Linked DNA regions of Saccharomyces cerevisiae S288C. The protein of the gene in region 2 purifies or fractionates together with the protein of the main gene of each other region. This does not show direct contact. Each region holds a gene or a part of one and is shown on either strand. Other genes may lie near its edges.

Region 1 (6,281 bases), on a different chromosome or scaffold from region 2:
GACATAGTTTCGTGAATTGATTCTTGTTTGTCGTTATGGTTGGCCTTTATTTTGTCTGGGTGGTATTTTTTGGTTAAATTTAAATATGCTTTCCTTATTTCTTTCGAACTAGCACTAGGCGATACTCCAAGAATTTTATAATAGTCCTTTTTTGGGTCGTAGTTAGGCGCTGCTGGGGGTGCTTGATGTCGTTGGTGTTGTTGCTGCTGTTGTTGTTGTTGGAAATATTGCTGGTTGAAATTCCGATGTTTATGCTCTTTATAGGTTTGTAATTGTTTCTGTAATAATCGGAAGTTCTTCATCACGTATGGATTGGTCGACTCTGAGAGGCCGTTATCTTGGAAAAATTTGTTTATCTGGTCATATAATTGCTTTTTGAACTGTGAATGAGGTTTAGACCTACTTTTATTAAGTATTGAGTTTACCATATACATCAGCAAATGAGGATTGGAATTCCATACATCACTCAATACCGTCTCAGGTAAAGGTTTTTGCTCGGACTTAGCATCCTGATAGTGTTTCCATGTTTCTAGTGTTAGTGAATGCCTCAAACTCTTTTTACAGAACGGCGCAGCCAGTTTAGCTCTCTTGACGTCCGGACTCATGCTAGAAGCCTGACAAAGAATGGAATCAATGTATACTAGATAATCGGTATGATAGTATGATTTTGGTTTGACAAAACCATCGGTTATTGGGGGATCTTCGAATAAATTTTTTGCCAAAGGTCTCGACAGTTGAACGTCTTCTATCAATTGTTTGATAATTTCCTCTAAAAAGAAGTAGTTGTTTTTAAAGTTTGTATCTTTGTTAAGAATTTTCATTGGTGTAATAAATGGCTTCTTATCCTTCAAATAAAATTCAATAATTCTATCCCAACTTCTAAACTTTTTGTTCTCAAATGCATATGTTGCTGGATCCAGGATCTGTCTTTTTGATGGATTCACCTTGTTCAATTTGGAAATAGTCAGGCTTAGTTTTTTACATTTATCATAGTCCATATCAATGGAAAGGCATTTTCTTATATTGAACGACGCATCTGAGTTAAGTACAAAGGTCTGTAAAACAGATATGACATAATGAATCGAAAGTCTTGTATCTATGCTTAAGCTAGCCAAATGCTTGTCGAGGATTGTTTCGTAATCCAAAATGATAGCAGCAGCTAACGAAACGTCAATTTCTTCAGCTAGTTTGTGAAAAAGAACATCGATGTGCGTGGAGAGGACGTTAACATCGTACGGCGTTATGCGTAGCAGCTCAGAAATATCTTCCTCCACAGAAACGTCTTTGGATGATATTTTGTTTCTGATGGTTTCATTCAAGGACAGATATTTCGCATACTGATCATCCTTCTGATGCACCTTGTCCCACATCCCAAAATCGACATACAGCTCTTGTAGCCTCTTTTCCGCCAGCTTCCCAAAAGAACCTTTGTAAGTTTCATTAAAAACGATTTTTTCAAATGTGTTAATAGCTCTTAGATGTTGATCGTTGGATAATTGGATCAGCCCAATTTTGTAGTATATTTGATTGGCTAGTTGAATTACGTCTGACATATTTTCACTTGCTGGATCCGCAGTCATGCAGTTTTGTTCCAACTGCCCAGCGATCCATTGGTATTTTGGCAAGGATTCAGTGTCTACTTTTAAATTCTTGTTCAATCGTTGTAACTCAGCCAAATCACATAACTTAGAAGCCGATATCAGTACTGGCAAAATAACGCTATACACTAAAAGACAGTATCCCGAGATCAGTATCATACTTCGTTTCGTAGACGTTAAGATCGGCCTTAGTAATACACTAAACCAACAATGAATGAAACCTTCTGGGCCCTTCTCGCAACCAACTCCTTTCACTTGGAATAACTTATAAGCAGTTTTGGCTCTATTTTTGCCTGCCATCGAAGTGTACACCTGTCACATTTCACTATTAGGAACCTAAAGAAAAAAAGTCTCAGGAATAGGAAAAGACGCGACGCGTTAGGAAATGATTAAACTAATTAAAGATGAGTTTTCAACCTCATCTTTAAACAGTTTCACCATTTTTTTACAAGACGACCTGCTGGAGTAACGGTAATAGTTCACGTCTGCAATGTATATCAAAAGGGTGATAATTAAGGGTTTTAAAACCTACAGGAACGAAACCATTATTGATAATTTCTCGCCGCATCAGAATGTTATTATTGGCTCCAATGGTTCAGGTAAATCGAATTTCTTCGCTGCGATTAGATTTGTTCTTAGTGACGATTACTCTAATCTTAAGAGGGAAGAAAGGCAAGGGCTTATCCACCAAGGTTCTGGTGGTTCAGTGATGAGTGCCTCGGTAGAAATTGTGTTCCACGATCCAGATCATTCTATGATATTGCCCTCCGGTGTACTTTCGAGAGGAGATGACGAAGTGACCATTAGAAGAACAGTAGGGCTGAAGAAGGATGACTATCAATTAAATGACAGAAACGTGACCAAAGGGGACATAGTCAGAATGTTGGAAACCGCTGGTTTTTCAATGAATAATCCGTATAATATAGTACCACAAGGTAAAATAGTCGCCTTAACTAATGCCAAGGATAAGGAAAGATTGCAGTTATTGGAAGATGTTGTAGGAGCTAAGTCATTTGAAGTAAAATTGAAAGCTTCATTGAAAAAAATGGAGGAAACAGAGCAGAAAAAGATTCAAATTAACAAGGAAATGGGTGAACTAAACTCTAAATTGAGTGAAATGGAACAGGAACGTAAGGAATTAGAGAAATACAACGAGTTGGAACGCAACAGAAAGATCTACCAGTTCACATTGTATGATCGAGAATTAAATGAGGTTATCAATCAAATGGAAAGACTGGACGGTGATTATAATAACACGGTATACTCTTCCGAACAATACATCCAGGAGTTGGATAAAAGAGAGGATATGATTGACCAAGTCTCCAAAAAGCTATCAAGTATTGAAGCTTCACTGAAGATCAAAAATGCGACTGATTTACAACAGGCAAAACTACGGGAATCTGAGATTTCTCAGAAATTAACAAACGTCAACGTAAAAATAAAGGATGTTCAACAGCAAATTGAGTCAAATGAGGAGCAGAGAAATTTGGATAGTGCAACTTTGAAAGAGATCAAATCTATAATTGAGCAAAGGAAACAAAAGTTGTCTAAAATTTTACCTAGATATCAAGAACTCACAAAGGAAGAAGCAATGTACAAACTTCAATTGGCCTCCTTGCAACAAAAGCAGAGAGATCTTATCTTAAAGAAAGGAGAATATGCCCGTTTTAAATCAAAGGATGAACGCGATACGTGGATTCATTCAGAAATTGAAGAACTGAAATCTTCAATACAAAACTTAAATGAACTGGAAAGTCAATTGCAAATGGATCGTACTTCTTTAAGGAAGCAGTACTCTGCGATTGATGAAGAGATTGAAGAGCTAATTGATTCTATCAATGGACCAGATACCAAGGGTCAATTAGAAGATTTTGATTCGGAATTAATACACCTCAAACAGAAGCTGAGTGAAAGTTTAGACACTCGTAAGGAATTGTGGAGAAAGGAGCAAAAATTACAGACAGTCTTGGAAACTTTATTAAGTGACGTCAATCAAAATCAAAGAAATGTTAATGAAACCATGAGTAGATCATTGGCAAATGGTATAATAAATGTGAAAGAAATTACAGAAAAACTAAAAATATCACCGGAATCTGTCTTTGGGACATTAGGTGAACTGATTAAAGTCAATGATAAGTACAAGACATGTGCTGAAGTAATTGGAGGTAACTCCCTCTTCCACATTGTCGTGGATACCGAAGAAACGGCCACTTTGATTATGAACGAACTATATCGTATGAAGGGTGGGAGAGTGACGTTTATTCCCTTGAACAGGTTATCTTTGGACAGTGATGTTAAATTCCCCTCAAACACTACTACACAAATCCAGTTTACTCCCTTGATAAAGAAGATAAAATATGAACCCAGGTTTGAGAAGGCTGTCAAACACGTTTTTGGAAAAACTATTGTTGTCAAAGACTTAGGTCAAGGTTTAAAATTAGCTAAGAAACACAAACTCAATGCCATCACTTTAGATGGTGATAGAGCAGACAAAAGAGGTGTACTTACAGGTGGGTATCTTGACCAGCACAAACGAACACGTTTGGAATCATTGAAAAACTTAAATGAATCAAGAAGTCAACACAAAAAAATACTGGAAGAATTAGATTTCGTAAGAAATGAACTAAATGATATTGATACTAAGATTGATCAAGTAAACGGGAATATAAGAAAGGTTTCTAATGACAGGGAGTCTGTCTTAACAAATATCGAGGTATATAGAACATCGCTAAACACCAAAAAGAATGAAAAATTAATTCTCGAAGAATCATTAAACGCAATTATACTAAAACTAGAAAAGCTGAATACAAATCGTACATTTGCTCAGGAAAAGCTAAATACATTCGAAAATGATTTGCTTCAGGAGTTTGATAGCGAACTCTCAAAAGAAGAAAAGGAAAGATTAGAATCTTTAACAAAGGAGATTAGTGCAGCGCACAATAAGCTAAATATTACATCAGACGCCCTAGAAGGTATAACTACAACCATTGACTCGTTGAATGCCGAATTGGAGTCCAAACTTATCCCACAAGAAAATGATCTAGAATCCAAGATGTCAGAAGTAGGTGACGCATTTATTTTTGGTCTACAAGATGAGTTGAAAGAATTACAATTGGAGAAGGAAAGCGTTGAAAAGCAGCATGAAAACGCTGTGTTGGAACTAGGTACCGTTCAAAGAGAAATTGAAAGTCTCATTGCTGAAGAAACTAATAATAAGAAACTGCTAGAAAAAGCAAACAATCAACAGCGATTACTATTAAAGAAGCTTGACAATTTCCAAAAAAGTGTTGAAAAAACGATGATTAAGAAAACAACTTTGGTTACTAGAAGAGAAGAATTACAGCAAAGGATTAGGGAAATTGGGCTTCTGCCAGAGGATGCTTTAGTAAATGATTTTAGCGACATCACAAGTGATCAGCTATTACAAAGACTGAATGATATGAACACAGAGATTTCTGGTTTGAAGAATGTAAACAAGAGAGCTTTTGAAAACTTCAAAAAGTTTAACGAAAGACGCAAAGACCTTGCGGAGAGAGCTTCAGAGCTGGATGAATCTAAAGACTCAATTCAAGATCTAATTGTTAAGTTAAAACAACAAAAGGTTAACGCGGTTGATTCTACTTTCCAAAAGGTTTCTGAAAACTTTGAAGCTGTTTTTGAAAGATTAGTTCCCAGAGGTACTGCTAAGTTGATTATTCACCGTAAGAATGATAACGCTAACGACCATGATGAAAGTATTGATGTTGACATGGATGCAGAATCCAATGAAAGCCAAAACGGTAAAGATAGTGAAATTATGTATACAGGTGTTTCAATTTCTGTTTCCTTCAATTCTAAACAAAACGAACAACTGCATGTTGAACAGCTCTCAGGTGGTCAGAAGACTGTATGTGCCATTGCTTTGATTCTGGCAATCCAAATGGTTGACCCTGCTTCCTTCTATCTGTTTGATGAAATTGATGCTGCACTCGACAAGCAGTATAGAACTGCAGTCGCTACACTTCTAAAAGAACTGTCAAAAAATGCCCAGTTTATTTGTACGACGTTCAGAACAGATATGTTGCAAGTTGCAGACAAATTTTTCCGTGTTAAGTACGAGAATAAGATTTCCACGGTTATTGAGGTCAATAGAGAAGAAGCAATCGGATTCATTAGAGGTAGCAATAAATTCGCTGAAGTCTAAGAGATATTTGAAACGATTTGTATATAAAAATATCAGTTTTGCTTACATAAATAGCTATTTGTATGTAATTATTACCATTGTCTCCTATATTGGAATTTTAAAAAATTTTCTTTTAAGATGATACTGTTACTAAACAATAATGTTAAATATAGTAACCAAGCTTTGATAATTCGACGTACAAAAAAGATTACTTTTCTTAAAGAAGTTGCCCGCTTGCTGGGAAAAGAGGTAAATAAGAATTGGTTTACATGAAGATTTTTTAATATATTAATACTTTTATATGCTTGATTATTTTTTTTTACTAGCTTTCTGTGACGTGTATTCTACTGAGACTTTCTGGTATCATTTTTTCTTGAAATCTTTTATTAATGATGCAAATCCACCACTTGGCTTCTTCTTCTTACCTAAAGCAGCACTAGCGGATTTCGCACTAATAAAACTTTTTCCATCATCAGATGAATCCCCTGAGTCATCAGAATCTGACTCAGATTTAGAATCTG
Region 2 (4,908 bases):
ATGGTAATCTTTTGAAATTTTACCAACACCCGGCTCACTGTCTAAAAATGTGCTCGTCAGTATGCTAGAGGTATCTGATAGTGCTCCGTGGCCGGATAACATATTGCTGTCAAGTGAAGTAGAAGACAATACCCTTTCAAACATTGGTTGAGAACGAGAAATGGATCTTCCTTTCTTTTGAGAACTTGAAGGGGACTTTCTTAGATGTCTCTTTTGAGCATGATATTTGCAAACCTCATCAGTCCCGCAGGTACACTGTTTTCTTTGTTTTTCTTTGGCTTTAGCTCTTGCTTCTTCTTTGGCTTTCTGTGCCAGTTTTTTCTTCTCTAGCCGGCCACACGTGCAAACACCTTCAGGATTTGCATTCTTGTTTTTTCGAAGTTGTTTACAATAGTCGCATGTAGTGGAAGGTCTACCTTTGGGTTTGATCATCATAAGCGGTTGATCTGTATGATTGCATGTTGTTACTCTATGGCCTCTTATGCACCTCTCACAGGCATACTTTATGCCATTTATCAAGACCATTATTTTTTAGGTTTTTTTTTTCTATACTTTTGTTTCCTTTTTCTTGTCAAATATGGTAGAGTGACAACAGAGAACTCTTTTCCTATGATAAAAAACCACGGGGTCTTATTTTGCTTGATTACGGTTTTTGTTTAATATTACAACCCTCTTTTCCTTGGAAAAGCTTCCCTGCCACGTTTTGTCTTGGCTCTTTTATTATAACTGATAAAGAGAACGGAAAGGACTTATAAAACGTGAACTTTCTAGTTTTCAATCAAGTGCTGGTGCTGTTATCCCTTTTTTTTTTCTTATAAAGTGGAAATGCACGACTCTGTATTACTAAGACCAATTAGCAGGTAAATAAAAAATGTGCAGCAAAAGGATATTTAGAAATCTGTAGCCCTCTCTTGTTTCTTTTCTCTTTTTCTTATTTTTTTTCTTTACTGAATTTTTTTCTCCCTTTTCTTTTTCCTGCCCCAATGTGACTATTGAAATCATGTCCAATAAAGGAAATAAAATTACCTCTTTCCCACAACCGGCACCACCAATTGACCTCCCGACTGTCTGAATGCGTAAAAAAGTAAAGAGCCTGCTATGCTCCACATGTTAAAGGGAAAAGAAAGGGGAAATGGGAAGAAAAATTATTCGCAAATTACCGGAAGCGTTAACGTTACGCCCTTCAGGGCGAGGGGGAAAAATTGCGCAAGCCCGGAATCGAACCGGGGGCCCAACGATGGCAACGTTGGATTTTACCACTAAACCACTTGCGCGAAGTATTGTGTGGGAGTAACATGTCACCCTGCTACTAAATAGATGTGGTTATACAGCCAAAAAATCATAATATTGTCTTATTTTTACAATTGAGTGTTGGAATGAAAACTCTAAAGTATCATCTGTTTAGTAGTATTCATGTTACTAGTACTTTATCACATTGGGTGTAAAAAGATCACATAAAGATTGAAAAACAGTCATCAGGTGTAATAGAAGCTAATTGCAAGGATTGATAATTTAGTAGGATGATGAATGACAGTCACATAAGATGAAAAGGATAACAATAATGCCATTATATCGAGAATATCGATCTCTTCGTGGGTTCTTCTCATAGAGAAATTCTAGTATATTCTAAATACGTAATATTATAGCCTTTAACAACTATAAAACTCCAACAATTATCAACTATTTCGCACATTTTTCGATATTATACATTACCAATCCTTCCTTTTTGACTTCCGTTGAATTTGATTACTGTCCCTCAATTTTTATATCATCTTCTTACACCGCATGTGATAATGTACTAGTAACGTGAATACTAGTCCATAAATAATACTTGACTCTTACTTCAAGAATAACATACGGCAATTCATTGTGTTCCTTTGGTAGATATGAAAGTAGGTATAAAACTTATTTTATCGTAACGTTTTTCTTTCTTCTTTCACGTGTTCTTTTTGTCTCGTTTTAGCAGGAGAACTTGACTTCGGCGGCAAACCAATATATCAGATTGATTAAGATTACGCGTTTTTACACTATAAAGGGAAGGGCATGGTATAAAGGAAGCAGTGTATCCGGACTTAATATTTTATAGTTGTTCTATAATTTCTTTTTAGCCTCAGCAACTCTAAAGCATTTGCTATATATAGATTAATATTACAAATATTCTGCAATGGCACCTCTTTCGTTGAACTTTAAAGATGACAAGAAATATAAGGGCCTCACAACAGTGTGGTTGCTTTCTGCGTTGGGAAATTCCATTGTAAAGGAAAGTAACAATTATTATTCAAACAAAAGCAACTCCACTGGAAACATATCTTCATCCACCGTTAAGAAAAAAGACATCGTAAATATTTCCATACCAAAAACATGTGATGAAATTCAAAATTTCGAAAATGATTTTTCTCTTAGATACATTTCTAATCTTTTATATGGAGTGACAATTTGCTATAATAAAAAAACCGAGTATGTGTTGAATGACCTAAATCACCTGCTTGTGCAGTTACAAAAAAATGATGTATACGCTTTTAAGGCCAAAAATAAGTCTACGAGGATTAATGGATTGAATAGTAATAACAGTATTATAGGAAACAAAAACAATAATTACACCTGGGAAGAATGCGTTTTTTTCGATGACGATCCCTTATATGATATTACTAAAGTTCCCGCACTGGAGTTTCTTAACACTACTCTCCAAGATAATGTATCTTTTATTGAGGAAGCTAAATCAATAAGGAGACAAGACTACATCAATGAGTTAAGTAATTCTAACAGGTTCGAGCTTCATGGGGACATGACTAACTCAGACGCGCAAAGTAATCTAGGATCTAACGTTAGAAATTCTTTTCCGCTGGATGAAATTCCCGTTGATGTGGACTTTAACCTGGACTTAGATGATATAGTGAGCCATCAGGGGACACCTTTAGGCTCTCACTCAAGTTCACAGAAGGATGGAAACGATTTCAAGTTTAATTATCAAGGAGATGAATTGGTGTTGAATTTTGAGAACGATAATGAAAATAACAGTAATGGAGGAGAAGATACATCAGTTGAAAATGAAGGGCCGGTAGCCAATCTCAAAGACTACGAATTGGGGTTAGAAGCGCAGGCTTCTGAAGAAGAAAACGATCTTCAACAGAAACTTAACACCAGAATGCAAAGAGGACATCGCGCCGATGTAGGTGGGCAATTTTCTAAGGTACAATTTGATGCCAAAACGAGTTATCCAAATGAAGTTCTCAAATTCAACCATGGAAATTACAGTCACTTAATGGAAAAAAACAGGATTAGAAAACTAACCGGCCAAAATTTTCTCACCTCTAACATAAGTAGTTTGGTAAGGTCATGTGGTGAGGAAGAATTTTTTTCAACAAATTGGTTAAGTATATTTAACGACTTTTCCAATATAAAGACTAGCGAATGGGACTTATATCCCCAAGGTTTTAGTTCAGTTGAAAGAGGGAGAAAAAGAGCACATTCTTTAGTATCAACCCAAAGCTCAAGTAGTACCAGAAGTCACGAATATGGTAGGAAAAGTTTTCGCAATAATAAGAACGATAATTATTCTTCCGATATGGAAAATGATAATTTACTTTTAAACCTTGAACAAATTAATGAGGATTTGGAAGATGGGCACTATATTGAAGAAAACTCTCAAGGTAACATCCTAGATTTTAATTTGAATCTACCTCCTTCAAGTTTTGGAAGAAGTCATACCAGAAACTCAACCAGGTCTAGTGGTTTCAATGAAGATATAGTTGGTGCTCTCAGAAGGAGAGTCGGGCCATCTGAACAGAATTTTGCCGAGGAAGACGATTCCAGCAACAGTTGTTTTTCTGATGGCTCTCAGCAAAATTTGCAGCAGGACAAAACAAATTTTCAAGACGTCATTCTGGATTATCAAACTAAAAAATTCTACGATTACATCAAAGAAAGATCAATTGTTGTCGGAAGAACAACGCGCTCCAATCCGCCTTTCAAGAGAAAGATGCTGTTGGTTGACATCATCCCAAGCCGCATGGGCGAAGCTCAAACGGGAGCTAACTTTGATGATGTAGAAAGAGGTGTCAGCAGACAGATAGCCGCCAGTGCCTTCCTATCCTTACTGAATTTGGCTACGAAAGGGATGGTCAAGTTGAACGAATATCCTGTTGCAGATGCGGTAACTAAAGATCTTAAACTGAGAAGAGAGGACGAAATAATTGTATATGCCTGAATTTTTATTTTCTCCTTCCATATGAGCGACAGCGGTTACTAGCCGCTGTCCTCAGGTTAATGATCCAAGTCCGAGATCCGGGCCGAATATGCTTGCGGGGAAAGAAATAAAAGTGCATTGGAGAAGAAAAGGATATGCTCTTCAATTAGAAGCGCCGAAACACTAACATCATGCTAGCGATATCATACGTACACTATATAATGTAAAAAATGGGCTTAAGAATAACTCTCTTATTTCTTAACTTTTGTTGCGGTTGAAGAGCTTATAAAAGTACTAGTGGCCTAAAGAAGCTACAGCGCCGATAATAATATCGATTTCGACTTTTCTAGTATTTCGCCGATGATTACAATGATTAACAACAAAACTTTCAATAGAAAAACTACGGGAACACTGAAGAAGCTGGTTTTGTCATCAGACAAGTCACTGCGAAGATCTTTCAACGGGGCAAGCAGTACTAAAGACTTCGTGTTCTCGGAATCAAGTAAAGTAGAAGAATGGTGGGAATCAGCCAGATTTAAGAATATCAGTCGTCCATACTCAGCTACGGATGTTGTAAAGCATCGGGGCAGCCTTCCTGCTAATACTTCAATTTATCCTTCATCTTATCAAGCTCGAAAGCTGTTCAACTTACTAGAAGAGAATTTCAAGAATGGTACTCCACTTCACACGTTGGGAGTTATCGATCCTGTACAAATGAGTCA

The links.
Region 1: the proteins of REC8 (region 2) and SMC3 purify together in Saccharomyces cerevisiae (affinity purification with western blotting; 2 studies listed by BioGRID, with this or other methods). This does not show direct contact.

What each region holds. Positions count from the first base shown.
Region 1 is NC_001142.9:298,657-304,937, reverse strand, and holds SMC3 (cohesin subunit SMC3), read left to right. Parts: upstream 1-2,088; coding exon 2,089-5,781; downstream 5,782-6,281. Other genes in the region: JEM1 (Jem1p), read right to left, coding at 1-1,757; APQ13 (Apq13p), read left to right, coding at 6,062-6,281; NET1 (Net1p), read right to left, coding at 6,124-6,281. UniProt on the Saccharomyces cerevisiae protein: Involved in chromosome cohesion during cell cycle and in DNA repair. Central component of cohesin complex. The cohesin complex is required for the cohesion of sister chromatids after DNA replication.
Region 2 is NC_001148.4:568,635-573,542, reverse strand, and holds REC8 (Rec8p), read left to right. Parts: upstream 1-2,164; coding exon 2,165-4,207; downstream 4,208-4,908. Other genes in the region: HAA1 (Haa1p), read right to left, coding at 1-525; methylisocitrate lyase ICL2, read left to right, coding at 4,547-4,908. UniProt on the Saccharomyces cerevisiae protein: Replaces the SCC1 mitosis-specific cohesin to ensure sister chromatid cohesion during meiosis. Is cleaved by ESP1 shortly before the first meiotic division, and dissociates from chromatin, allowing sister chromatids to segregate.